Macaca fascicularis: one gene and its partners. The protein of the gene in region 7 purifies or fractionates together with the protein of the main gene of each other region. This does not show direct contact. Links are inferred from orthologs where the notes say so. Each region holds a gene or a part of one and is shown on either strand. Other genes may lie near its edges.

What was found.
Region 1: the proteins of VAPB (region 7) and OSBPL10 purify together in Homo sapiens (affinity purification with mass spectrometry; 4 studies listed by BioGRID and IntAct, counting the BioPlex papers as one, with this or other methods). This does not show direct contact. The link is inferred for Macaca fascicularis from reciprocal best matches to the Homo sapiens genes VAPB and OSBPL10.
Region 2: the proteins of VAPB (region 7) and RAB3GAP2 purify together in Homo sapiens (affinity purification with mass spectrometry; 4 studies listed by BioGRID and IntAct, counting the BioPlex papers as one, with this or other methods). This does not show direct contact. The link is inferred for Macaca fascicularis from reciprocal best matches to the Homo sapiens genes VAPB and RAB3GAP2.
Region 3: the proteins of VAPB (region 7) and LSG1 purify together in Homo sapiens (affinity purification with mass spectrometry; 3 studies listed by BioGRID and IntAct, counting the BioPlex papers as one, with this or other methods). This does not show direct contact. The link is inferred for Macaca fascicularis from reciprocal best matches to the Homo sapiens genes VAPB and LSG1.
Region 4: the proteins of VAPB (region 7) and FAM83G purify together in Homo sapiens (affinity purification with mass spectrometry; 3 studies listed by BioGRID and IntAct, counting the BioPlex papers as one, with this or other methods). This does not show direct contact. The link is inferred for Macaca fascicularis from reciprocal best matches to the Homo sapiens genes VAPB and FAM83G.
Region 5: the proteins of VAPB (region 7) and TACC1 purify together in Homo sapiens (affinity purification with mass spectrometry; 3 studies listed by BioGRID and IntAct, counting the BioPlex papers as one, with this or other methods). This does not show direct contact. The link is inferred for Macaca fascicularis from reciprocal best matches to the Homo sapiens genes VAPB and TACC1.
Region 6: the proteins of VAPB (region 7) and MIGA2 purify together in Homo sapiens (affinity purification with mass spectrometry; 3 studies listed by BioGRID and IntAct, counting the BioPlex papers as one, with this or other methods). This does not show direct contact. The link is inferred for Macaca fascicularis from reciprocal best matches to the Homo sapiens genes VAPB and MIGA2.

Annotation. Positions count from the first base shown.
Region 1 is NC_088376.1:16,732,947-16,736,169, reverse strand, and holds part of OSBPL10 (oxysterol-binding protein-related protein 10), read right to left. Parts: intron 2,926-3,223; coding exon 2,739-2,925; intron 786-2,738; coding exon 603-785; intron 1-602. UniProt on the Homo sapiens protein: Probable lipid transporter involved in lipid countertransport between the endoplasmic reticulum and the plasma membrane.
Region 2 is NC_088375.1:78,165,834-78,169,837, forward strand, and holds the start of RAB3GAP2 (rab3 GTPase-activating protein non-catalytic subunit), read right to left. Parts: upstream 2,801-4,004; 5' UTR 2,684-2,800; coding exon 2,569-2,683; intron 85-2,568; exon of another isoform or gene 1-84. UniProt on the Homo sapiens protein: Regulatory subunit of the Rab3 GTPase-activating (Rab3GAP) complex composed of RAB3GAP1 and RAB3GAP2, which has GTPase-activating protein (GAP) activity towards various Rab3 subfamily members (RAB3A, RAB3B, RAB3C and RAB3D), RAB5A and RAB43, and guanine nucleotide exchange factor (GEF) activity towards RAB18.
Region 3 is NC_088376.1:3,984,132-3,987,631, reverse strand, and holds part of LSG1 (large subunit GTPase 1 homolog), read right to left. Parts: exon of another isoform or gene 3,277-3,500; intron 2,096-3,276; exon of another isoform or gene 1,981-2,095; coding exon 1,857-1,980; intron 1-1,856. UniProt on the Homo sapiens protein: Functions as a GTPase. May act by mediating the release of NMD3 from the 60S ribosomal subunit after export into the cytoplasm during the 60S ribosomal subunit maturation.
Region 4 is NC_088390.1:18,837,443-18,841,484, forward strand, and holds the start of FAM83G (protein FAM83G), read right to left. Parts: upstream 2,801-4,042; 5' UTR 2,740-2,800; intron 2,200-2,739; 5' UTR 2,072-2,199; coding exon 1,550-2,071; intron 1-1,549. UniProt on the Homo sapiens protein: Substrate for type I BMP receptor kinase involved in regulation of some target genes of the BMP signaling pathway. Also regulates the expression of several non-BMP target genes, suggesting a role in other signaling pathways.
Region 5 is NC_088382.1:42,248,439-42,251,938, forward strand, and holds part of TACC1 (transforming acidic coiled-coil-containing protein 1), read left to right. Parts: intron 1-1,243; coding exon 1,244-1,364; intron 1,365-2,814; coding exon 2,815-2,883; 3' UTR 2,884-3,500. UniProt on the Homo sapiens protein: Involved in transcription regulation induced by nuclear receptors, including in T3 thyroid hormone and all-trans retinoic acid pathways. Might promote the nuclear localization of the receptors.
Region 6 is NC_088389.1:14,906,465-14,909,964, reverse strand, and holds part of MIGA2 (mitoguardin 2), read left to right. Parts: coding exon 1-116; intron 117-1,897; coding exon 1,898-2,108; intron 2,109-3,500. UniProt on the Homo sapiens protein: Regulator of mitochondrial fusion: acts by forming homo- and heterodimers at the mitochondrial outer membrane and facilitating the formation of PLD6/MitoPLD dimers. May act by regulating phospholipid metabolism via PLD6/MitoPLD.
Region 7 is NC_088384.1:114,456,127-114,460,263, forward strand, and holds the start of VAPB (vesicle-associated membrane protein-associated protein B/C), read left to right. Parts: upstream 1-1,337; 5' UTR 1,338-1,569; coding exon 1,570-1,627; intron 1,628-4,137. UniProt on the Homo sapiens protein: Endoplasmic reticulum (ER)-anchored protein that mediates the formation of contact sites between the ER and endosomes via interaction with FFAT motif-containing proteins such as STARD3 or WDR44.

The DNA of each region.
Region 1 (3,223 bases), on a different chromosome or scaffold from region 7:
TTTCTTTAAACAAAGAACAAACCATTTTATGTTGTTTAAATTTTTTCTGAATTTAAGAGTTTGTCCTGAGAACAGATTCTTAGAAGTAGAACATGAGATTAAAGTGGATTAATGAATTGAAAGCTACTGATCCATGCAGCTAAACTGCACACACTCCTACTAGAAGGACAGGGTATAGAGTGTCAGTTTTACTACACCTTTCCCAGCATTTAATTTTTTTTTAAAACATTGTTAATCTGGCAAGAAAAAAATAGTATCTCATTGACTCACTGTGCAGTTCTTTGATTACTATCAACTCTCTGTATTTACCTTTGCAATTAAGCAACAGATCAGTTGACAAACTTTTGCAAGACAAGCAGTAAAAGTCTGCTGAAGTCTATCCTCACACCCACCCCATGACTACAGAATGACTTAACTGAAAGCTGAAAGGTTCTGCTCCTAAGTGACACACAGTAGAAAACTAAAATATCTAAAGAAGCCAGGAGAACATGATTCCTGGCCTGTTTCCAGTCGCTAAGCTTTCAAAGTCTTCTTTCTTCTCTGTCCCTTGAGTCAAGTGCCCAGCATGACTAAGCTGGAGAGGAAGACAGCCCAATTCTCACCTGGACTCCATAGGCCCCTGCTTCTCGAGAGGTCTGATCTTCTTGGGATACACTGGCAGTGTGGTTGTGTCGATGACTTTGGTTTCTCCATTGCTGTAGGTGAACTCTAAAGTACCATTCCATTCCCCATGGGCTTTACAAACAATGGTGTTGGTTGGGTTGTGCTTCACTTCTGCGGTAACCCTGAATTAATGAGTCAAATGAACACACTTTGCAAAATGATAAAAACAGAGACTTCAAAGGTACACCCATCTATAGAGATTTTTTTTTTTTTTTAATCAAGAATGGGAAGGAGGGATTGTTTTTGGAGCTTTGCTCAAAGACTAGCTCTTAAAAGATGATCTAATATCCTTGAACAGCAAAAGAAAGCATCACTGGAAAAAAAAAGTCTATAGACTAATTAATAGTAATACAGCAATGCTAATTTCTTAACTGTAATATTCTGTAAGATATCACTGGGATGAAAATCAGGCAATTCAAGAAAAACAAAATACGTGGGAAGGGGACGAGAGATAAAAGACTACAAATATGGTGCAGTATCTATAGCTTGGGTGATGGGTACACCAAAATCTCACAAATCACCACTAAAGAACTTACTCATGTAACCAAATACCATCTGTACCCCAATAACTTATGCAAAAAATTAATTTTTTAAAAAAAGGAAAACAAAATAGCATATACTCTCTCTTCTCCAAAATAGCATCTAATAATGCTACATTTTAACCCTAAAAAGACTGTAAGAGTGTAGGGTGAGCTTTTCAATCCTTAAATCATTAGGTCTATTTTGTATGGGGTCAAACATGGTTGCCCACAATCCCAACAGAGCTTACGTTGGAAAAGGAGGGAAATATCCACTCCAGCATCCACACATCCCCTGAATGAAGGCTGAGCAGAACCTAGAGTCTCAGTCTCAATCAATACCTTCCTACTCACAGTAGTGGCTCTGAGGAATGACTTCAACCTCTCCTTTAGAGGGCCTTTGTGGAGATTTGTGACCTCTCTTCCACCTGCCTTGCCTGTGGGAATTCCAAGTGAAAGCAGACTCCCAGCTCCCTCTCCACCACTGAGCTTTCTGCGCAGTTGAAGGAACACCGCAGAAACGGGGATACCTGCCCCAAAGCAGCCACGTGTAGGGTCTAAACTCCCCTTTTCCTTAAGGCCCAGCTCAGGCCGAATTTAGAGTTTCCAAACAGACTGGGAGGCTTTCTCCTTGAGCCTAAAAACAGTCAGCAAGGCCGAGGCTCACAGGCAGGTATGAGGCATCTTCTGGGTTGCACACAGTGGAAAGGTGTTAGTGGCATGCTGGGAAATATTTAGCAACTGGATCTCCAAAAGGGAAAACACCTGATTTGTACCATTTGCCAATTTCTGTGATGCCTATCATGGCTGATTTCAACACCAATATGATAGCACTGAACGTGAAATACACACAAATCAGTTCTCACGAGCTGGTGTGTGCTGGTTCCAGGTGCCCCCAAAGGGTGTCCACATGCCCCTGTGACACTCTGACACACTCACACTAATGCCATGCAGAATAATGCTTTCCAAGAAAATGGGCAAAGATGGAAGCTTGTTTGTATAGTATATCTTGCTTATGCAGTAGAGCTGTGCTGAAAGAGGAATTTTTTTATAGCTGCAGCAATGAAAACAATTGTGTGCTTCCTCAAACAGCAGACCTCTCCTTCAATGACTTAGACTTGGGCTTCCCAAGTTTTTCAAAAGAAAGAAAGGATCCTGACCTCATGGATGCGTGACACAGAATTGAGGACAGTGTGGCCAACTAATGTAAATGGGGAACTGTCTGGCTATGTCTGGGTTCAAAGATTCAATCACTTTACAGCAAAGCAACAAACTGTGGCTTCAGAAGGGAGAGTTTATTCCAACAGAAGTGCTGTTATTCTCTGGCATCTGCTCTGCAAATGCGTCACCAAAGATTTAACCTTAAGTTTAGAGTAGGGAGGACTCCAAAAAACTGCCATGTAAGGTAGGGAAAAGGCATCTCTTTTGGAACAGATCTTAACAATTTTATCCTGATTTTCAACTCATCCCATTACTGAAACTCAGTCTTCTAATAGTGAAAGGAAACTCAGGGCATCGTGTTAAGACAAAGCCAGAGCCTCTCCAGCCAGATCCTACCTGTGGACTTTCCCTCCATAGAAAGGCTTCGTGTGGAATATCACCGTCGCTGAGTACCCAGTCTTGGCACAGTTGATGCTGACTTTTCCTCCGAGCTCCACCCATGGGATGGTGAGAATGGACCGGGCGTAGGCACTAGGCAGGGTGAATACGTACTCCTCCCCGTGTTCCAGGAGCCTCAACACACCTCCAGGGAGAGAGGAGGGAGAGTTAGCCATGCAAAAACACCAAGAGGGCACGGGGGATCAGAAGAAATGAAGACGGGAAACCACAGAGCCTCTTGCACAGATGTCACATCTCCCACCTCTGCAGAGGTGAGCTGCTTGTTCGCCATGGGCTCTACTGTGTGAAAGGCACTGAGAATACAGCCGTGAATAAGATAGACCCACTTTCTGCCCTCAGAGAGCAGAACAGAAAGGTGGTCATTAGTCACCAGAGGAACACAAAATTATAACAGTGATAAAGGTGGGAGGGCAAGGTGGCCA
Region 2 (4,004 bases), on a different chromosome or scaffold from region 7:
GTTGCAGTGAGCCAAGATCATGCCACCGCACTCCAGCTTGGGCAACAGAGTGAGACCTCATATCAAAAAAAAAAAAGAAAAAGAAAAAAGGCAATGTTTTGATCTAAATTATGTCTTAAAAGCTCACTCTACCTACTGTTGAGAATTATTATGGGAAACCAAGAGTGAAAGCAGGAAGATCTGCTAGAAGAAGACATATCATATCATAGCCCAGGTTGAGAAAAGATCATGGCCTGGACCAGGAGAGTGGTAGAGGGATAAAGAAAATTTGTTCCTTTTTTCTACATTCCCTATCTACAATCCTGCATCTGCTATCCTTCACAGCCAAGCTCCTTGAAATAGTATACTTCACTTTTTAACCCCTTATCCTATAAATATGCTTTCTGCCTCCACTATCCTACTGAAACTGTCCTAAGGCCCAGTTACTTCCACCTTCCCAAAACCAATGAGCACTTTTCTATCCTTTTCTTACCTGACCTCTGCTGCATTTGCAAAACTGCTGACTATTCCTCACCTTCATCAAGTTCTCACCTTCCTCAGCTCCAAGGGCCTTACTCTCACCTGATTTTCCTCTTTCTTTTACTCCTTCGCAGTCTTCTTCCCAGTAACCTCTACTTGACTTTTAAACACCAGTGCTCCTCTAAGTTTACAGCTTTAGTACTCAGTGCATTTCACAACATACATAATCTTTGAGACTGAATTTACAGTTTTTGCTGTTAGCTCCCCAATTAACGTCTCTGGCCCAGTACTCCCTACTGTTTAGACTATCTATATCTGGTGTTCAACCAGATGTCCTTACTTGGACATACTGTAAACATTTAAAATGCAAAAGGTTGAAAATCTGTATCCTTTATTCTCTTATTATATACACTTGTCCAAACCACAAGCCAAAGACTTCCTAAACTCCCCCTCATTTACTAGTTACAATGCCCATCACCAGACCTTCAGAAGGTCCTGCAGATTCTAACTCCTTTATGTCTTTCTAATCTAGTCCTTCATCTTCATCCTGCTAAGGTTCTTAATTCAAGCTCATATCATTTCTTGCTTGGATTACTGGAAGAGCTTCCCAATCCATTTCCCTTCTTCCAATCTCTCCTCCACTTTGCTACCAGAGCACATTACGGGTCTTCAACAAACGTTGTTGATTACATTAAGTACAAATCTGACAATGTCATTTCTCTACTTAAACTTTCAGAGAAACGCCACAACTTTCACAGGGCTTCTCATGGTCTAGCTCCTTATCACTATTACTGCCTCATTGCCCCAATTCTTCCTCTCCCATCCTCGTCTCTAGCCACTCAGCTTTTCTTAGTTCTCTAAATACCATGCCATTTCAGTCCTTCCTCTGCACATGCTATTACCGCTCCTTTACTCCTCTAACTAGTACTTCAAAGGTAGGCTTAAGTATCACCACTTGAAGAAAATGCCTCACATCTATCTCAATCACATTGAATGGAAGTTAGTGATTTGTCTGTAAACCATAAGTTCCTAGAGGCAGGGTCCACCAACCTTATTTGGTTTGTAGCACCAATGACTGGCACAGAGTATGTAATCATTCACAGATGGGTTTGATTTGATATCTTCTAAATTTTTTTTTAAAGGGGGAAGAGCTTAGTGGGCCTTATATCACCGTTCCGGCATAGCACAGAGTGAGAACACTGTACTACAAAGCCAAACGTGCTTCATGTTGGAAATGCAAAAATAAAATAAAATAAAACACAAGGCACACCCTTTCAAAAGATGAAATGTAGGAAATTCTGAGAGCCTATGTAGTATCTAAGAAACCAGCCTTGGAACTTTATACTACGTGGGGAAAGGCTTATTTAACACTTTGATGATAAAAATAGGTGGAAGGCTTCTCATCCCAATAAAGCAAATTAACCTTTCTTGGCTATGTCACTGTAATTTTAGTTCCTAATGTAGATTCTCGTTCACTTCCCGACAGGTTATTTTCCTTCTTTGAGAGACTCTTACCACCTTAAGAGTCACTCATTTGTCAGTCAGCCATTTGTTCTCAAAATCTGAATGGGGGAAACGCGGATGAAAGAAGGGAGAGTGTGGGGGGATGATCAACACTTTCGGAACGGGAGGTGGCAGAAGGCCACAGTCCCCGGGATGGAAGAGTGGGCGCTGGGGCAATACCAGAGTGGAGCGCTGACATGTGGCAAGGAACGGGGAGGATGCGATCACGGAGCAGGCAACATGAAACAAGGGACGACCCCAGGCTGAAGATGGGAGACGGAGAAGATACTTAGAGAGAAAGCTAGGAATGTGGGGGGAGGGGGGAGGGAGGAAGTGGTGATAGGCAGAGGCGAGAGGAAACGAGACGCAGTTTTGGGCCAGGGATCAGAGGGGCTGAGGAGAATAGCTGGGTCGAGAGGAAGACAACACAAATGGGGCTTCAGGACGAGGTGGGCAGGGGTTCATCCCGGAACAGAGGGGAGGCACGGGAAGAACTGGGGGTCCAGAGGGCAGAGGCAGGAGGCGCAGAGCGAGTAGGAGACCCGAACCCTCCAAGCAGAGGCCGCGGGTGACGGGGGAAGGAACGGAGAGGTGAGAGGCACTTACTGGGGTCCCTCCGCAAGGCGCCGCTGGGGATCTCCTCCCGCAGGTGAGGAAAGAGGAAGTCCCGGGCGGCCTGGAGGTCCTGGAAGTAGCAGAACTGGACAATGGAGCAGGCCATGGCTCCGGGGAACCCCACTACGGCACTCACCTTACCTCACCACGCCCTGCCCCCTCCACCCCACTGCGGCCGCCGCCGAGCCCCAATAGCTCTAGCCAAGCAGAAGGCGGAGAAACCAAACCGGAAGCTGTCACTGACACGGGTCCGCTGTCTCCGAGTACTGCGCAGGCGCAGGCTGGCCCAGGCGCCTAGGGAGGGCTGGCCCGGGTCACGTGACTAGGGCGCTGCTGCTGCTGCAGGTGGAGCCAAAGTCTACGTGGAGGCTTGGGGCAGATTTTCAGTCCCAGTTCTGCGTCTACACCAAGGAATGAACCCTTTCATTCATTCTGGCTTTTAGCCAGAGGTGTTCTAATTGGACTTGTCCGCGCAGGCCTTTGACTCATTCAACCAATCTTATTGATGCCCTAATATTGGCACGATCTTGATGTTTCACAGAAAATAATTCGTTTTAAACTAGTGGCAGGCCAGTGGGGGACTGTATCCTGCAAGAGTCGGATTTTGAAAAGATTAATTGCTCTTCCGGAGATTAGCCCCGTCAAGGCTGGCTTTAAATGCTCCTGCTATAAATTTCCATAGTACTATGCAAGCCCAATATAGTACGTGTTAAAGTGTATTATACTCTTATGTTTTCATTATTCATTTGGTTTTTCATTCATGCATTCATCCATCCATTCGACAAATATTTGTTAGCCTTTTAAATGCCAGCCACGCAGGGTGCTGAGCATTAGAGAACAAAAGAGAAGAAATACCTTTTCCCAGAAAGTTAGAATTCTAGTGACTGATACAGGCAGTAAGAAATTAATTACAGTAGTTCACTTTAATCCAAGGGGATATGTTCTAAGACCCCCAGTGGATGACTGAAACCATGGATAGTACTGAAACCTGTGTATGCGTGTTTTATTTTTACCTGTACATACATATGATAAAGTTCAATTTATAAATTAGGCACAGTGAAATATTAACAATAACTAATACTTAAAATGAATAATGTGGAAAATGAACCCATGGATAAAAGGGGGGACTACTGTACTCAACTATTTACTGAAATTGTGATCATGCTAGTAAGTGCTTCATAAATATTTGCTGAAGAAATAAATGGAATGTGTACATAAAGTAAATAGAATAAACTGTTTCTTTTACAAAGCACTGTTTTTGAAAGTACTTTACATTGTCCATTTGGAAAGTCACAAATACCATCTAAAAATAGTGTGTCTTATCTCATTTTTTAAATGAAGAAATTGAGTCGTCTCTGAGCAGACTTTAAGTTATTTTTCCAAAAAGTAAAAACAAAAAAATATATTTTAATGTGAACACAAAGATC
Region 3 (3,500 bases), on a different chromosome or scaffold from region 7:
CATTTATTCATGGAGGCTACCTGTAGGAGAATGCTACACTGTCAATACTACTTGCAAAACAGAAAGCAACAGAAGAAGTTTTCTTATTGAATGATGTACCCACATTTTTTCCCCAGTAAGATCCCTTTAATACTAACTCAGTCAGAAGGCAGCAAAACACAGTGTTAAGAACATGGTTTCAGCAGACAGGCTGTGTTCCAAACTCAGCCCCCTCACATACTAGCTGTCGACTGGCTTTTCCAGTTTAGAAGAAAACAGTTACAATCCTAATTCACACAATATACAAAAATAAATGTAGGCAGATTAAAAATCTAAATGTTAAAAAAGTAAATATTTCAGGAAGATAGTTTTATCTTTTTGGGATGGAGAAGACCTTCCCAAGTAAAACACCAAACCCAGTCAAACCAAAAAGGAAAAATATAGTCTGTTAAAATTGTCAACTTCTTTGGGGGCCAAAGAAACCATAATTAATGTTGGAAAAAAATGTGTAGCACATATAACAAAGAACTTCTACAAATCATTAAGACAGAACCATGTATAGGAAAATGTGATTCTCAGAAGAAATATAGTCACAAAACATTTGGAAAGATGCTCAACTTCACTAGTATTTAAAGAAATACAAAGTAAAATGAGAGTAATCTGGCAATATCTTTGAACATTTACTGTTGAGATTTTCTTTTATATGGACTTGCAGATAGTGAACTTAGCAATTGTACGTGTGGTCATTTGTTTTTACAGACTGGCTTTTTCTTTACTCTGATTTTATCAGGCAGCATTAGATGAAACATCTTAAAAGACTCAGATTATTTTCAGTTTTATCAGAAGTACAATCAAACTGAAAGTTTGGTGGAAGTCCACCTTTCTGCATTTTCCAGGCTAACATCCTCGAGGGAGATCTCACCCAGGCTATTCCACTGACCAGCCACCTCACCTTGGGTCAGCTTGGGCTCTGGGTTCAGATTTTACTTCTTAAAAGCAGGGGCTAGGAGGTGAGGTAATCTTTCAGGTCTTTTCTTGTTCTATGACTCAGTCATTAGAATAGTCTTACACAAGTGTTTAGTATTTATCCTCTTTAGAGTCTCTAAGTTCAAGGTTTGATTTAAGTGTGATTCCTATCAAATCACCTTCCACCTTTCTCTGCCAGTAAATACTTGAATAAGCTGAACTCCTTCCCAGCCAGTGGCAATCCCTTTCAAGGCAAGCCACACACGCACAGAAATGCTTCTCATGCTGCTATTCTTTTTTTTTTTTTTTTTTTTTTTTTAGGTAGACACAAGGTTCTCCAGGCCACCTTTAAAGTTTACATTGAAGGCAAGAAATCATAGGTCCTCATGTGGAATTGGGAAAAAACACGGAGGTGGGAGAGCTGTGGTCTCATTTTCATGTCAAGTAAGTTTACAGGGACTGATGGGAGAGGAAGGAGGGTGCTTTGTGCCCCTGTCCTAACCAAGCTCCACTCTGTCCCCGTCTCTGAGGGGTCTCCCTTCTGGTGCTCCCGTCCCAACTCTCCTGCCTCGCTGTGGTGCACATATTCATTTTCTTCCACACATCCCCTTTCTTCTTGTTTGGGAGAAGACTCCAGAAACAGCCAACACAGCCTCCGATGAGAACCCCTGTGCCTGCACATGGGTACCATCAAAGCAGCAAATGTCCTGAAAGCTTTTTGCACTGTAGGTTACTTTGTAGGCAAGGCCCGCAGAGACATTAACCCTGGAAGATGACTTGAAAAATGCTAAAGAAATATGATAAATTTATATCTTTGCAGAATAACATTTCTAGTACTATTACTATTCTTATTTCTATTCATTAGCTATACTGTTATTTTTGTTCACGTTTTCTAATGAATCCCAACTTACATCCATAAGCTGTTAACAGCTCTTCTGATGTTGGAGGTCGGTGGGGATCTTCATCTTCTCTAGGCTTTATGATATTAATGCCATAGGTAGCTTCTAAAACATGTCTTGGAATATTCTGGCAAACGTAGCTTGTCAGGGAATCCACTCTCTTGAACTGCCTCTCTCCTCCCCAAGGCATACGGAACGTGCCTCTAAGAGCATGGCACTTCATCACTTGTACGACAAACACTCTTTCTCCTCTCCAAAGGAAGAGTATAGTTATCGATTAATTTTAAAAGACTCAGTTTTTTTTTCCTTTTAAACAAGGCCTTAAGCTCCCATGACTCTTCCATATGAATTCTTTTAAAATAATAATTTAAAATATCTCTGAAACTGACTTTAAAGATGACACATTTAGCCGGGCGCGGTGGCTCACGCCTGTAATCCCAGCACTTTGGGAGGCGGAGGCGGGCGGATCACGAGGTCAGGAGATCGAGACCATCCTGGCTAACACGGTGAAACCCCGTCACTACTAAAAATACAAAAAATTAGCCGGGCGCGGTGGTGGGCGCCTGTAGTCCCAGCTACTCGGGAGGCTGAGGCAGGAGAATGGCGTGAACCCGGGAGGCGGAGCTTGCAGTGAGCCGAGATCGCGCCACTGCACTCCAGCCTGGGCGACAGAGCGAGACTCCGTCTCAAAAAAAAAAATAAATAAAAAAAAAATAAAGATGACACATTTTTACCCTGAAAAGTAGATTATGCATTTGTGATTCTAATGTAGAGATAAAGCAAGGGGAGTCTGTTTCTAATGTCTACAATTATGCAGGATTACTTTTCCTCCTTTGTCTCATCTCTCATAGTTTGTCTGAATTTTCCTTAAGCCACTAACAATATTCTACTTGTACTACAGTTATTCACGTACATACCTCACGTGTCCCCAACAGATTGATGCTTCGTATAGGGCAGTAGCCATCTCTATTTATGCCCTATCCTCCATAGTACCTAACCTAAGGCTACCGGCAATAAATAATTCATGTCTCACTATTAATTTACTGAGAAACTTAAAAGGCCGGGCTCACGCCTGTAATCCCAGCACTTTGGGAGGTCAACGCAGGCAGATTATTTGAGGTCAAGAGTTTGAGAGCAGCCTAGTCACCATGGTGAAACCCCATCTCTGCTGAACAACAACAACAAAATTAACTGGGCATGGTGGTGCACACCTGTAATCCCAGCTACTCGGGAGGCTGAGGCAGGAGAATTGCTTGAACCCAGGAAGTGGAGGTTGCAGAGAGCCGAGATTGCACCACTACACTCTAGCCTGGGTGACAGAGTGAGACTCCATCTCAAAAATAAAAAAAGCTATATACTTTTTCATATATATGTATCTATGAATAAGCTGTGGCCTTAAGTGTAGTTATGAAGGAAATTTTACCCTACTTACAAGCCAGCGGATTAGTGTGCCAATTTCATGATGTCTCCTGTTTTCTGCTAGTATCTATAAAACAGTAACAGACTAACTTGTTAGCTTGTAAGTACAGTAAAATCTCAGACCTTGCGCAGTTTTTCCCTTTCGTTTTCTTTTTTCTTCAGGAGTCTCGCTTTGGCACCCAAGCTGGAGGGCAGTGGCACCATCTCAGCTCACTGCAACCTCTGCCTCCCAGGTTC
Region 4 (4,042 bases), on a different chromosome or scaffold from region 7:
AGCAAGTCCCCCTACCCAGGGCCTCGGTTTCTCTGTTTTCAAGATGGAAGTGGAGGCTGGGTAATGGGATCCCAGCAGGCTCTCTGTGAAGACTGGGTTCTCTAGCCTCCAGCCAGTCATCTCCACCAGTCACAGACGTCAGCAGCACTTCCCACACACCATGGCAGGTGTGGGGCGGGTCTCTCAGCCTGCAAACTATGAAAGTCCCTTCCTCCTCCCCCTCCTCCTCCTCTTCCTCTAACTCCTTCCTTACTTTTGTCACCCGATATTCCATCTTCACAATAGCCAAAGATGCAGCTTTTATCTGCACCACCTCCATCTTACAGACCAAAAACCCGAAGCCTCAAAGTTGCCCAGGGTCAGTCAGTGAATTGAGAGCAGTCAGGCTGGGGACCAGGCACCCCGACCCAGCTAGCTGACCCAGCTGGTCCCCTTGTTGGGCAGGGACTCCACCTTCCTGGAAACTGGAGCCAGGGCCAGGAGCCACCGGGGTCACCTCATCAGTTCTTGACCCACTTCTGGTTTCTCTGCCTACAAACTTCCCCAAGGCCCTGTCAGTTAGCCAGGATGGTCTCTGAAGCCAGCATTCTGGTCTTGTGCAATTGGCTGCTCTGCTCTGGGATTGGAAGTATAAAGGGATTAGACCCAGCAAGGAAGACCTCATCCCACAACCTGAGGCCCAGATCTGACTTCAGAATCCCCTTCTCAACATAGCTCACTAGGTAAGCTTTATTTATCAAGTCAAGATGTGCTTGGCAATGATGAGAAGGTACTTACGTGCAGCAGGCATTAGCACCTGCTCATGGTCACAGCTGTCCAGCAGTGGCCTAGCTATCTCTGCAAGTGGCAAGCACCCCTTCTGAGAATGTGTGATGGTGTGTCAGCCAAGAATGGCCCCCACAGCTAGGGCACTGCATAGCCCAAAAGGGGTGGAGAATGGGAGGGCCAAAGAAGGCTTTGTCCTCACCCGTGCATCCTGGCCTGGAAAGTTTCCACCATTGCAAAGCTCACAAAGAGACTCAGAGAGGGTGCGCAATCTGCTCCCAGTTGCTCAGCACAGCTAGGAAACAGGCAGTGTTGAACCAGGACCTCCAGGCCAGTCTCAGATGGACTCGGACCATGCCTATCCCCTCACCCCGCAACAAAAGCTCTCCCCACCAGAGAGCTCACGGTGTGTGGGGGCCTTCGCAGCCAATCGGAGACACTCTAAGGGAAAGTGAGAGGAAGCCCTGGGGTTCCTCCCCTCCCCACTCCACCCTATCTTGGTCCCTTCTTCTGGGGAACCAGAAACACCCCGCAACAATACAGAGGCCCTTTGAGACAGGGCAGCCCACTGTCACCGGCTAGGACCTGGGAACCCTATCCTGCAAGGAAACTGCGGATCCCCACAAAGGTGGGGAGGAAACCTCCACCTAGGAGGCAGCCAGGGAAACAGCAGAAATCCCTAGAAGGCCATGTTGGGCTCCCGTTTGGGGCTCTGAGTGAGCCTGTATTGAGGGGTCCGGTCGCTGGTTGGACCTTGGCTCCCAGAGTCCCCACGCTGCCTCACCTTCTGTGCCTGGCTGATCATCTTCCGCACCACCTCTTTGATGTGGGCCTGCCCGTCTATGGGGGGCTGCATGTAGACGCTGGCCCGGGTCACGCCGCGGTAGGCGATGGTGTCGGGCCAGCCCAGGTCCAGCTGCGGGATGGAGCGGTCCGACTTCTGGGGCCAGTACTCCAGGGAGGGCAGCGGCTCAGCCTCGGTGGGGACCCCATCCGCCCCGCTGGCTTCCTCTCCGTCGCCGACCCGGTGGTCCTCGGGCCCCTGGGAGGGGTCCGTGCCCCGAGGGTCCTCGGAGCCCGGGTCGTACACCTCGATGGTCTCCAGGATGCGCTTGAGCTCCAGCTCCGAGAGGAAGTCTCGGATGTTCTCCCGCTTGAGCACCTCGTAGAAGGCGTCCCGGCCGCGGGCCACGAGGGCCTCCAGCGCCAGCCGCTGCTCCTCGCTGTAGAAGAACTCGGGCTTGGACTCGCTGGAGCGCCAGTTCACATGGTTGTCGTCCAGACACTGCACCTGGGAGAAGGCCATGGTGCCGCCTGCCCGGGCACTGCTGCCGCGGGTAGGTGGGCAAGGTCCGGCTCCTAGCTCCGGCCCGGCTGGGGCACCGCGCGCTCGGGGGCCTCTCCGCAGCCTCTGCTCCTCTGCCCATGAGCAACCTGCGGGAAAGACCTGATGAGCCCGGCTCGGCGCGGAGGGCGGGCCGCGCGGGAAGGGGCGGCGGGGGGCGGGGCCGGGAACTCAGGTGGGCGTGGGAAGGACGGGGCTGGGGCTGGGACTGGGAAGATGAGGTGGGGGCACTGGACGAGGATGGGAAGAAAGTAAGGGATCGTAACAGCAGGGAGAGAGCTGTGGGCCACGTCCCAGGGCTCAGCGTGCCTCTATGTGCAGGGGACAGGGAACCCACATCCCAGGACTTGCCTGAAGTCCTGGCAACTTCTGAGGGAAACTAGGGCAGCCGGGGAACTTCCCAGTAGCTTCTTAGAGTGGGAGGCGGCCCCGGCACAGCGGCGCCCCGCAAACCGAGGGCTTCCGGGTAAGGGAGAGGTCTTAAAATTCCCAGGTGCCGGCAACCCTGGAGGCCTGCCCTGAAGAGGACGGGGCTCTGGGAGGGGTCCAGGAGAGCCAAAAGTGCGGTTGTGGGGCGGCGGCGCCCCGCAAGACCCGGGATCCCGGGGGCGCGGCTGTGACTTGCTTACCGAGTGGGCACGGGCGGAGCGCGGCGCACACGCAGCGGCGGCGGCGGCGGCGGCGGCGGCGCGAGGCCGGGCGGGGGAGCACTGGTGACTCAGGGCCGCCCCGCCCACCCCACCGTCGCCACCTGCAGTCACGTGCCGCCCGGGGCGGGGCCGGAAGCTGATTCACCCCTCCACAGGCAGACAGACCTGGGGTGGGCGCACTGCCCACTGTCCCCTGGTGCCCGAATTCCGAAAAGCTCAGAGGCCTAAGCCCAAGAGCTCCTGGAACACCCAGCCCAGAGAGGGACAGTGTTCTTCCTGAGGTCACACAGCGGGTCAACAGCCTTGGCACCCCCTGTGCCCCCAGGGTCTGTTGGTGATCCTGGATCAACCCTGGCTGTGCCCAGTTTCGCCGGTGTGGCGGGAAGTCCGTGCGGCTGTGTAGATTTCCAGCTGTCCAGTTGTGGAAATAGGTCTAGGGTAGTGGACTGGGAGCCCCCAGGCAGGGATAGAGCACTGACTGATACAACCTCTGGCCTTTCCTGAGCAGGTACCTAGTTCTCAGTCCTGAGCCCTGATCCCCTCTGGGAGGGGTCCCCGGACTGCTTCTGCGTGGCGGGCAGCACCCGACCTGAACCCTAGGGCAGGGAGGGGCCAAGAGGGCAGCTGTGGGCTGGGGTCAGGCCCAGCTCTCTGCTGAGCGTCCCCTGGGGTTGGGACCCTGGTTATGGGGAGCGTGGAGACCACATCTGAAGGCAGGCTTTGAGAGTGGGACAGCAAAGCCCATTAAACCTGGCCCAACAAACGGCCCCCACCCCATCGCGTGCAGCAGCCAGTCTGCCAGGCACCAGGCCCAGCCCTTCCTCCCATCCCCCATACTTGCTCTGGATCTGGATGGGGCTGGTTTGGGGCCCTTAAGGATGCTGCTTCGGTAGGCTGGTGACATCTCTAGGCCTTGCGCCCTCAAATCCTCCTCCTCCAAGGCCTTCTCCACCATTCATGGCCCATCAGGACTCCTTGCTTCTGAGTCCACTGCCCTGGACAATGACTGGCCTCCTAGGCCCAGCATCCTTGTGGTCCCCATCACTGACCCCTCAAGCCTGAAGTCCTACACTCTGCCATACAGGCCCCCCCAAGGGCTTTATGCTACTGAACATAGTGGCCCTGGGGGGACAGGCACACATATTTGCATCCCTCCCCTGCCCCAGGGCCAGAGAGGGGAGGTGGTCCCAGCAGGGGAGCCCTGCTTTGAGGGTCCCAAAGACCCATTTATAGCCCCTCTGCCACTGTGGATCCCCTGCAAGACCCTCTCTGAGCCGCCTCA
Region 5 (3,500 bases), on a different chromosome or scaffold from region 7:
GGCTGGTCTCGAACTTCTGACCTCAAGTGATCCACCTGCCTTGGTCTCCCCAAGTGCTGGGGTTACAGGCATGAACCACTGCACCTGGCCTCCAACTTGACTTTTTAACTAAAAGGTAATACATACTTCTACATTTTGATGCCTAAATTTCTATTTGTAGAAACAGAAGTTCCCCTGCCCCCTTCCCACTCCCATAGTACTGTATTAGGTTTCTTGTGTATTCTTCTCCATAGGTTATACAGATCCCTCTATGTATTATACATAGGTTTATTGTATATCCCTCTAGTCTTTTCTTTGTGTCTGTATAAATACTATGATTTTGAACTATAAAAAATATTTACAATATTGGAATCACATTAGACAAATTTCCTTTTTCCCTCAATAGCATATCATGGCCATTTTTTCATGTCAGAACATACAGCTGAATCTCATTCTTTTTATTAGGTCGTGGAACTCTAGCGTTTCTTTATTGATGGGCACTTAGTTACAAACTTTCTTCCATTGAAGGTAACACTACAGCGAACATCCTGTGCACTCATCATTGTGCCAGGTGGAAGTATTTCTGTGAATACATAACTGAAAGTGGGATTGCTGCGTCGGAGGGCGTGTACGCTTTAAGTTGTCCTGGTGACTACTGCATTGCCTGCCACAGGGCAGCGCCAGTTTCCAACCGCCCATTGGCACATGAGCCTGCCTGTCTCCTTGTATCTTGGCCCACACAGGACTATCCTTGTTAATTTTTGCCAATTCAATCAATTTTCAAAGCTTATCATTTTAATTTACATGCCTCTGATCACTAATGAGGCTTTAGCATCCTTTCATCAGTTTACTGGCTGTTCATCAACTGACATTTATGGTTTTTAAGAATGTCTTTCACTTCTCATTAATAAACTCATTCCCTGTAGGCCTGTGTCTCACAGATGTCAGTGGTTAGTATCCCGACTCTAGCTGTGATTGTCTCCGAAATTATCCAGTCCGCTTTTGTACTGGGCTATAAAAAAAAAAAAATCTAAGACTGTTGTAGAAACCATTTGCTGTGAGATACAAATTTTGAAGTTGTAAATTGAATTTTTATAAATTAAAATGGGATTATTTAGGTCACCGATTTTTGTGTTTTCTTTTATCATGCAGTCAATTCTTTGGGGGCTGTGCCTCCCAGATGTCAGTGGTTAGTATCCTGGCTTTGACTAGTGGCTAATCATGTGCTTTTTGTCTCTTTATTCCACCCAAACACCATAAACAGAGCCAATGAGGAGATTGCGCAGGTTCGAACAAAGGCAAAGGCTGAGAGTGCAGCTCTCCATGCTGGACTCCGGAAAGAGCAGATGAAGGTGGAGTCCCTGGAAAGGGCCCTACAGCAGAAGGTACAGAAAGGGGCCTGATCTGGGTGGCCACAGAGACGTTTGGTTTTCCTCCTCAGCAGTGACTCGCTTATGACAGATCTGGGTGAAAGAGGCCTTGGCTTTCTGCTCAGACACTTCAGTCCATCTCCTTTCTGAACTGATCCAGGTGGAAACAAGTCAAACCATTAAATTTACAAGCACATCATGCGGAAATCATCCGTAGGCAGGGTGCAGAGAGGAAGTTGCATTTTAACTGAAGTTCAGAACACCTTCCTAGTTGGGGTCTTGAGACTGCCTTTCTTTCTTTCTTTTTGTTTTTATGCAATATATTAATATGAAGCCATCTCTCCCTTCATTGCTTTAGATCAGTGGTTTGCAGTTGGGGGCAGTTTTGCCCTCCAGGGGGTGTTAGGTGTTAGGTAATGTGTGGAGATATATTTGTTTGGTTGTCACCACTGGGAGATGCTATTGGTATAAAGTGCAGGAGGCCAGGGATGCTGTTAAACATCCTGCAATGCACAGGACAGCCCCTGACAACACACTTATCCATCCTAAAACATCAGCAGTGCTGCTTTGAGAAACTGCTATAGATCAGTGAAAACCAGGACTAGCAACAATCCCTGTTTCTCACTAAGCAATTTTTAGCTTTCCATTTTTATATGTCTCCGGTGTATTTTCCTTACTGCGTTTCCAATTATGTACTCATACCTGTGCCATCCATTCATCAAGAGCAGGAGTTTTTATCACAGGGTCTGATAACCCCTAGAATGGTGCTCTGTAGGAGATTCAGACTCCAGCATCCCTGGAGATGCTAATGGATTGAGTGAGACCCAGATACTTATGTTTTTGACAAGTACCCCAGATAATTCCTCTGATAACAAGAGAATTGAGGAACTAAGAGATTCATGGACGAGTTTCAGAGGGTTGGTGACTGTCTTCACCCTTTACTCAATTTAAGCATGATTTTATGAGTACATTGTTTTTGAGATGTGTAGCCTTTTTTTCTTTAAAGCATCTCTGATGTAGAAAAGTTAAAAATCACTGAATTGGGGCCGGGCGCGGTGGCTCAAGCCTGTAATCCCAGCACTTTGGGAGGCCGAGACGGGCGGATCAGGAGGTCAGGAGATCGAGACCATCCTGGCTAACACGGTGAAACCCCGTCTCTACTAAAAAATACAAAAAAACTAGCCGGGCGAGGTGGCGGGCGCCTGTAGTCCCAGCTACTTGGGAGGCTGAGGCAGGAGAATGGCGGGAACCCGGGAGGCGGAGCTTGCAGTGAGCTGAGATCCGGCCACAGCACTCCAGCCTGGGCGACAGAGCGAGACTCTGTCTCAAAAAAAAAAAAAAAAAAAAAAATCACTGAATTGGGATGTCTAGGGTAGGGTATATCCAGACTTGGGACTAGTTAACTCTATTTGCCTTTATTTCAGAATACAAAGTGGCCTGCGTAATTGTGTCTTTTGTCTTTCAGAACCAAGAAATTGAAGAACTGACAAAAATCTGTGATGAGCTGATTGCAAAGCTGGGAAAGGCTGACTGAGACTCCCCCTGTTAGCTCAACAGATCTGCATTTGGCTGCTTCTCTTGTGACCACAATTATCTTGCCTTATCCAGGAATAATCGCCCCTTTGCAGAGAAAAAAAAAAAAACTTAAAAAAAGCACATGTCTACTGCTGCCTGTCCCGCTTTGCTGCCAATGCAACAGCCCTGGAAGAAACCCTAGAGGGTTGCGTAGTCTAGAAAGGAGTGTGACCTGACAGTGCCGGAGCCTTCCAGTTCCCCATATGAAGGTTCCATTAGGCTGCTGAGTTTGGGTTTGTGATTTCTTTATGTTTAGTTTGTTTTAAAGTCATCTTTACTTTCCCAAATGTGTTAAAATTTGTAGCTCCTCTTTGGGGTCTTCTACACCACCTGTCTGATTTTTTTTTGTGTGATCTATTTAATCTTTTAATTTTTTAATATCAGTGGTTTTATTTAAGGAGACAATTTGGCCTATTGTTACTTCCAGTTTATAATCAAGAAGGGGCTCTGGGTCCCCTTTTATTAAACACACTCTCACACACATACATGTATATTTATAGATGCTGCTACTCTTTTCCCTGAAGCATAGTCAAGTAAGAACTTGTCTGCAGAAGGACATATTTCCTTCGATGTGAG
Region 6 (3,500 bases), on a different chromosome or scaffold from region 7:
CCTGGGGCATTGGCCCTGCCATGGCGTTCCGGAGGGCTGAGGGCACGTCCATGATCCAGGCCCTGGCCATGACGGTGGCTGAGATCCCCGTGTTCCTGTACACGACGTTTGGGCAGGTAAGGATCGGAGTGAGTTGTATTTCTTGTCTGTGAAACACTTCCATGCTCAGCCCAGGGCTCCTCCGTGTCCAGGAACACTGAGCCCTCGTTCTTGCTTTGCCAGACCTCTGGTGTCTCCTCTTTGTACTGGGTTTGTTGTCTGAGGCTTCAGGCCTGTTCTTTAGCCTAAGACTATATGAACTCTTTTTTTTTTTTAAATTAATTAAAAAAATTGTTTTGGCCAGGTGCGGTGGTTCATGCTTGTAATCCCAGCACTTTGGGAGGCCGAGACGGGCGGATCACCTGAGGTCAGGAGTTCGAGACCAGCTTGGCCAATGTGGTGAAACCCTGTCTCTACTAAAAATACAAAAATTAGCCAAGCGTGGTGGTGTGTGCCTGTAGTCCCAGCTACCTGGGAAGCTGAGACAGGAGAATTGCTTGAACCCAGGAGGTGGAAGTTGCCGTGAGCTGAGATCATGCCACTATACTCCAGCCTGGGCAACAGAGGAAGACACTGTCTCAAAAAAAAAAAATGGCCGGGCGCGGTGGCTTAAGCCTGTAATCCCAGCACTTTGGGAGGCCGAGACGGGCGGATCACAAGGTCAGGAGATCGAGACCATCCTGGCTAACACGGTGAAACCCCGTCTCTACTAAAAAATACAAAAAACTAGCCGGGCGAGGTGGCGGGCGCCTGTGGTCCCAGCTACTCCGGAGGCTGAGGCAGGAGAATGGCGTAAACCCGGGAGGCGGAGCTTGCAGTGAGATGAGATCCGGCCACTGCACTCCAGCCTGGGCGACAGAGCCAGACTCAGTCTCAAAAAAAAAAAAAAAAAAAAAATTTAGCTGGGCCTGGTGGCAGGTGCCTGTAATCCCAGCTACTTGGGAGGCTGCGGCGGGAGGATCACTTGAACCCAGGAGGCGGAGGTTGCAGTGAGCCGAGATCACACCACTGCAGTCCAACCTGGGCAACAGAGTAAGACTCCGTCTCAACAACAACAACAAAAGTTTTTTGTGGTAGAAATAGGGCCTTGCTATGTTGCCCAGGCTGGTCTTGAACTCTTGGGCTCAAGTCATCCACCCACCTTGGCCTCCTAAAGTGCTGGGATTGTAGGCATGAGCCACGGCACCTGGTCCTATATGAACTCTTGACCACAGTTACTCAGTCTGTAAAAGAGGTCAGTGCCCCCCACCGACAACTCACATGTTTGTGGCTGACTGGGCTCTTGACCAAAGATCTGCCCTGGGGGTTGCAGTCCCACCTGAGGGGCTCCCAGGCCCAGAGGGCAGAGGGTGACGTGCAGCAGTAGGAAGTGTTCAGATGGGGTGGCAGGTGAGTGAGTGTCATCGTCTTTGAGGCATCGCTGAGAAACAGGGGTCAGCGGATCTGGGTTTCATGTCTGCCTCTGTCGCCTTGAGCGTGTGTCTTCACCTGGGTGAGCCTCAGGTTCCTCGTCTGGAAATGACAGGGACTCAGATGGGTACCCCAGGCTAGGTCCTAGTGCAGTGCCAGGCACAGCTGGTGCTTGCTCACTGCAGCTCATTGTCATCATGACTGAGGGTGCTGGCCCTTAGACCTCACCTCCTCAGCACTGGCATCTTGCCATCTTTACGTTTTTGTGGTCCGTGTTTCAGGGAGGCTGGTCAAGTTCCCTGTGTAGGGCAGCTGCCTCTCAGTCTCTCGTCTGGTTGGCAGATGTGCCAGAGGGCCGGTGTATGTCCTGTCCCTGGGGTGCTCTGGGGCAGTCCTGCTGCCTTGGACCCAGGGAGGTGTAACCGGCAGCGTCTCCTCTTCCCTGCAGTCTGCATTTTCCCAGCTACGGTTGACGCCAGGCCTGCGGAAAGTCCTCTTTGCCACGGCCCTGGGGACTGTGGCCCTGGCCCTGGCTGCCCACCAGCTGAAGAGGCGACGGAGGAGGAAGAAGCAGGCTGGTCCCGAGATGGGAGGGGAGCAGCTGGGCACGGTGCCCCTCCCTATCCTCTTGGCCAGGAAGGTCCCTTCAGTGAAGAAAGGTAGGTGTGAGGTGGTGGGCATGGGCCTGTCCTGGGGTCACATCCTGGGGTCATATCCCAGCTGGGTCATTCTCTACCTGGGGATCTTGGGCCAGTGACTTCCTGTCTCAGAGCCAAGGTCTCATCCGTGAGCAGGATGACAGTAGCATCCCTTCCTCTAGTCACTGAACTGGAGGGTGATGCGGTTGGATGCGTGTGCTCTGTTGGTGGTGGTGGTTTTGGTTGTTCTCATTGGCTGAGGACCCTTTGGGAGCACCCAGGTCCGGAGTGGGTTGGGGGTGTGGCTTCTGGGTCCAGAGAGGGATGTTCCCCAGGCTGAGGTGCAGGAAGGGCCATGTTGTTCTTGAACCACGCGGTATTCCTCCCATCCCCTTCTCTCTTCAAAATTGAGGTTTAGGCCGGGCGCGGTGGCTCACGCCTGTAATCCCAGCCCTTTGGGAGGCCGAGGTGGGCGGGTCACGAGGTCAGGAGATCGAGACCATCCTGGCTAACACGGTGAAACCCCATCTCTACTAAAAATACAAAAAATTAGCCGGGCGTGGTGGCGGGCACCTGTAGTCCCAGCTACTTGGGAGGCTGAGGCAGGAGGATGGCGTGAACCTGGGAGGCGGAGCTTGCAGTGAGCTGAGATCATACCACTGTACTCCAGCCTGGGTAACAGAGCGAGACTCCGTCTCAAAAAAAAAAAAAAAAAAAAAAAAAAAATTGAGATTTAATTTGCATGTAGTAAGATTCATACTTTTTAGCATGCTATTCTTTGGACTTTGACACAGAGTCATCCAACCACCACCATAGTTAGGAATCATTCAGCTGGTTAGAAGGTAGTGAGTTCACTCAGTCGGTTGCTCACACTCACAGATCATACTCCTTCTATTCTCTTTTTTTTTTTTTTTGAGACGGAGTATTGCTCTGCCACCCAGGCTGGAGGGCAGTGGCACAATCTCGGTTCACTGCAGCCTCAGCCTCCCAGGTTCAAGCGATTCTCCTGCTTCAGCCTCTTGAGAAGCTGGGACTACAGGCATGTGCCACCATGCCTGGCTAATTATTGTATTTTTAGTAGAGATGGGATTTCGCCATGTTGGCCAGGCTGTTCTCGAACTCTTGAGCTCAAGTGATCCCTCTGCCTCAACCTCCCAAAGTGCTAGGATTACAGGTGTGAGCCACTGCGTCTGGCCGTCCTTCTACTCTTTTTTTTGAGACGGAGTCTCACACTGTCGCCCAGGCTGGAGTGCTGTGGCACAATCTTGGCTCACTGTAACCTCCGCATCCTGGGTTCAAGGGATTCTCCTGCCTCAGCCTCCTGAGTAGCTGGGATTACGGGTGCGTGCCACCATGCCTGGCTAATTTTTTGCATTTTTAGTAGAGATGGGGTTTCACTGTTTAGCCAGGATG
Region 7 (4,137 bases):
CGAAGTCTTCATATTTTAAGGAAACAGGGTAAAGACATTTTTACAAATATTTAAACATACTGGACTTTCACAAGGTAAGCATGCATGCCCAAAATTTTCAAGTAACCACTAAAACTTAGAAATAGAGTATGTAGGTGAAGAAAACAAGAATGAGAATAAAAATAAACCCCAAAGAAGAAAGGGGAAAAAAAAAAGAAAAACAAAACAGGCAGGACAAGTAGAAATAACAAAATACGATGGTAGAAATAATTCCAGATATATTAGTAAATATAATAAATGTAAATGGACTAAATGCTACAGTTAAAATACAAAGATTATTCTTCCAAGAAACCTGTTTATCATGAAAAATTTCAAGTATACAGAAAAGTGGGAGAAACAGTACAAGAAAACCATGTACCTGCGATGTCAAGTCAGCCATTGTTAGCAATTTGCCATGTTTGTTTCACCTATATTGGTATGTATAGGAGACTATTAAGAACACCTATTTTACTTTCACAGTGAACATGATATAATGAAATACAATTTAAACGGTAATCATGATGTAGAGTATCCATTTTTGAGGTCAAGCAGATCTGGATTCTCCAGCAATTTTTAATTATTTAACTTACTTGTGTGGTTATTTATTCAAAATGTCTCTTCACTAGGCTACAGTAAAAGGATTGGAATCAGGTTAGCTTTTCTGATCATTGTATTTCTAAATATTTATTGCATAAACAAATCGAATTTACTAGTAAAAATTCAGCACAGTGCCAGTTGCCTAATAAACATTTAACGTAGAGTAGCTTGTATTTATTGTAGCTGCTGTTGTCATTGGAAGCATTCAGCAGAGTGATACGAAATAAGCAATAATTGGTAGTTTATTATATTTATAATTATTATTTACAAGACGTCACAGTGCTTAGCCCATATCACTCACCCATAAACATCATGTTTATACTAAGTACTTTGACTATTATTCAAAGTCTCTAACAGTGCCTGGCACTACATAAGCAAGAGAAAAGTGGAAGTTTATTCTAATTGTTGTTACTGAATAAAGCATTTAACACGAGGCTGGCCCCCAGCGGACCCTTAATAGTTTTCGCGGCTGCAGTCGTAGCCGGACTACAAACCCCGCCTCCTGAGCAGCGCGAAGCCCCGCCCCTTGCTGCCCTGCAGTTCCGCCCCCGTGGCTTGTACCGCGCCTGCGCACTGTCCCGGGTGGGGCTCCACGCGCGCAGCTTTAGTCCCCGCCCCTGGAGCTGGCGGCGCAGGGCGCAGCTTCCCGCCGCCCGAGCGGGCCAGCCTGCTGCGTGCGTGCGTGTGTACGCCTGTGCGTGCGTGCGTGCGTGCGTGCGTGCGTGCGTGCCGTCAGCTCGCCGGGCACCGCGGCCTCGCCCTCGCCCTCCGCCCCTGAGCCTGCACCGCGTAGAACGACCCCCCCCAGCGCGCGCACCCCGTCGAAGACCCTCACCCGTGCCCCGACTGGTCCCCCCTTTTTTGTAAAACTTAAAGCGGGCGCGGCATTAACGCTTCCCGCCCCGGTGACCTCTCAGGGGTCTCCCCGCCAAAGGTGCTCCGCCGCTGAGGAACATGGCGAAGGTGGAGCAGGTCCTGAGCCTCGAGCCGCAGCACGAGCTCAAGTTCCGAGGTAAGCCCCAGAGGCCGCCACCTTCATGCTTGCGGCCCCCGCCCCAGTGCTGGAGGGACGGAGTCCGGCGCGGCGGGTGACGTCGGCCCTCGTCCCCACCCCGACGGCGCTGTCGTGGGGGCCGGCGAGGCCGGGCCGGGCCTTGGCGCTCAGCGCGCGCCCCAGAAATGCGCGGAGCGGCCGGGACCCTAGAGGACTGGTGCAGGAGCTAGGGCCTGTGCCTCCTCCCCGACCCCCAGCCTCCTGGGACTTGCCTTCGAGGCACTTGTCACTTTGCCTTGTAACTTAGTGACCAGTTTGTGATCACTTTAGTGTGAACCTCCGCCGCTGCTGTTGCCTGGAAGGTTCTTCCCCTGCTCTGTGACAGTGTTGACCTCAGGGTTTAGTTGAGGTATCACCTGCCCAGAGAGGCCTGCTGTGGCCACCCAGCCCACCGTGCACACCTGCTCTCCTGCTGTCCCCATTCTGTCACTGTTTCGTGGTCAGCACCGCACTTTTCGTACTCAAAATCACTGTTTCAACACTAGAAAGGAAACTGCATGAGGACAGGCTCTTGTCAGTTTGCTGCTGTGTACCCAGCACACATTAGACGCCTAGGAAATACCTGTTGAACCAACAAATGAACCTCCTCAGGCCTTCTGATGGGATTGGTCCCATTTTCCGTTCACTGCCTCCCTCATGGTGCCTCCTGGATGCAGCTGAGGGAGGCTGCCAAGGTGCTGGGATCCTTTTGCTCCGCAGAGCTGCCTGGAGCAACACCTGCGGTGGTGGGAAACCATGACCCTGGTTTCTCCCAGACACTATTATCTCTGTAATTTGTGCCTTTATGTTTTCTATGTTGTTCTTTTTTTTTTTTTTTTTTTTCCTACCTTCACCAGGGCCACGAGGTAAAAGGTCTGACATGCTCATTCCTTCTTTTTGCTTGTATCCAGTGATGTGGAAGGCACTAGGGAGGTGATGGATGAACAAGACAGACAAGGCCTCTGCTCTCAGAGAGCTTAGCTTCCGACGAGAACAGACAAACCAGCACACAACATCGTTACAGATACGTGGAAGGCCCTGGGGAGGTGATGGATGAACAAGACAGACAAGGCCTCTGTTCTCATAGAGCTTACCTTCCGACGAGGACAGGCAAACCAGCACACGTGATCTTTGCAGATAGTGCTAAGTGCTGTGTAGGAAATGGAACAGTTTGACTCCATGGAAGTTTACTGTAGATTGGAAGGTCAGGTCTCCACTATATCGCTAGCAGCGGGCTCACAGTAGATGTTCAGCTGGTATTAATGAATGGCCAGAGGTTCTCCAGTTTATATGTCTTATTGGGAAGTAGTGTAGGGTAACTTATGCAAAGTTACCCAGTTGGCAAGTGGTACATTTGAACCCAGACTTCAGAGTTCACGCTGTTAACCGTTATGCTGTCTGATCGCTGGGAAATACTCCAGAACGGTGGCTGTCACTTTGCCTTCCAAGTTAACAATGTGAAATAACTCTGAATTTACAGAGAACCAAAGGCTTTCCAATTAAAATGAAAAAAAACAAAAAAACCCCACCAAACCTACCGGGGATCGAAATTCCAGGATAGTACTTGAGGTTTCATGATGCGCTCATGGCTTTCTGGGAACGCCAGATTGGAAAAGGAGGCCAGGTGGCTAAAGTGGTGAGCCATGGTTTCCACTTGAGTTGTCTGAAGTTCTTTTTCTGTCTGGGAGGCCTGGCTTGGCTTCTCCTGAGAATTGGTGGGTTCATTCGGTTAGTCCACAAACATTTACTGAGTACCTGATCTGTGTGTCAGATACCCGGAGAAGCCAAGTCATATCAGCTGTACTCTCCCATTTTCCCTCAACCTCCTCCCAGTACTTTAGGGAAGGGGACAGATGAGAACAACAGCCAGGACAGGACAATGATGTAGGGTAGTTCAGAGTGCCCCAGGAGCATTGAGGAGGTCAGCTCCTGAAGGAGGTGTCATTTGAGCTCAGTTATAAAGGTTGAGTAGAAGAAGGCTCAAAGAAGGAAAGGGTGAGAACATTTCAGACAGAGGAAATTGCATGCACAGAGGCACAAACACTGAGATGACTGGGCTCCTTTGGGATGCCCAGTAGTTCTTTTTTTTCTTTTTTCTTTTTTTTTTTTTTGAGATGCAGGTCTTACTCTGTCACCCAGGCTAGAGTGCAGAGACGCGCTGTCTCACTGCAACCCCCGCCTCCCAAGTTCAAGCGATTCTCCTGCCTCAGCCTCTTGAGTAGCTGGGATTATATACAGGCGTGTGCCTCTACGCCTGGCTAAAAATGTATTTTCAGTAGAGACGGGGTTTCACCATGTTGGCCAGTTTGGTGTCAGACTCCAGACCGCAAGTGATCTGCCCTCCTTGACCTCTCAAAGTGGTGGGATTACAGGCGTGAGCCACTGTGCCCAGCCACCACTAGTAGTTGTGAATGACAGCAACAAAGAAAATTTGTTGTGGTTGCCCGGCAAGATGGCAGACAAGGCTGGTGAGTAGACAAGAGTCAGAC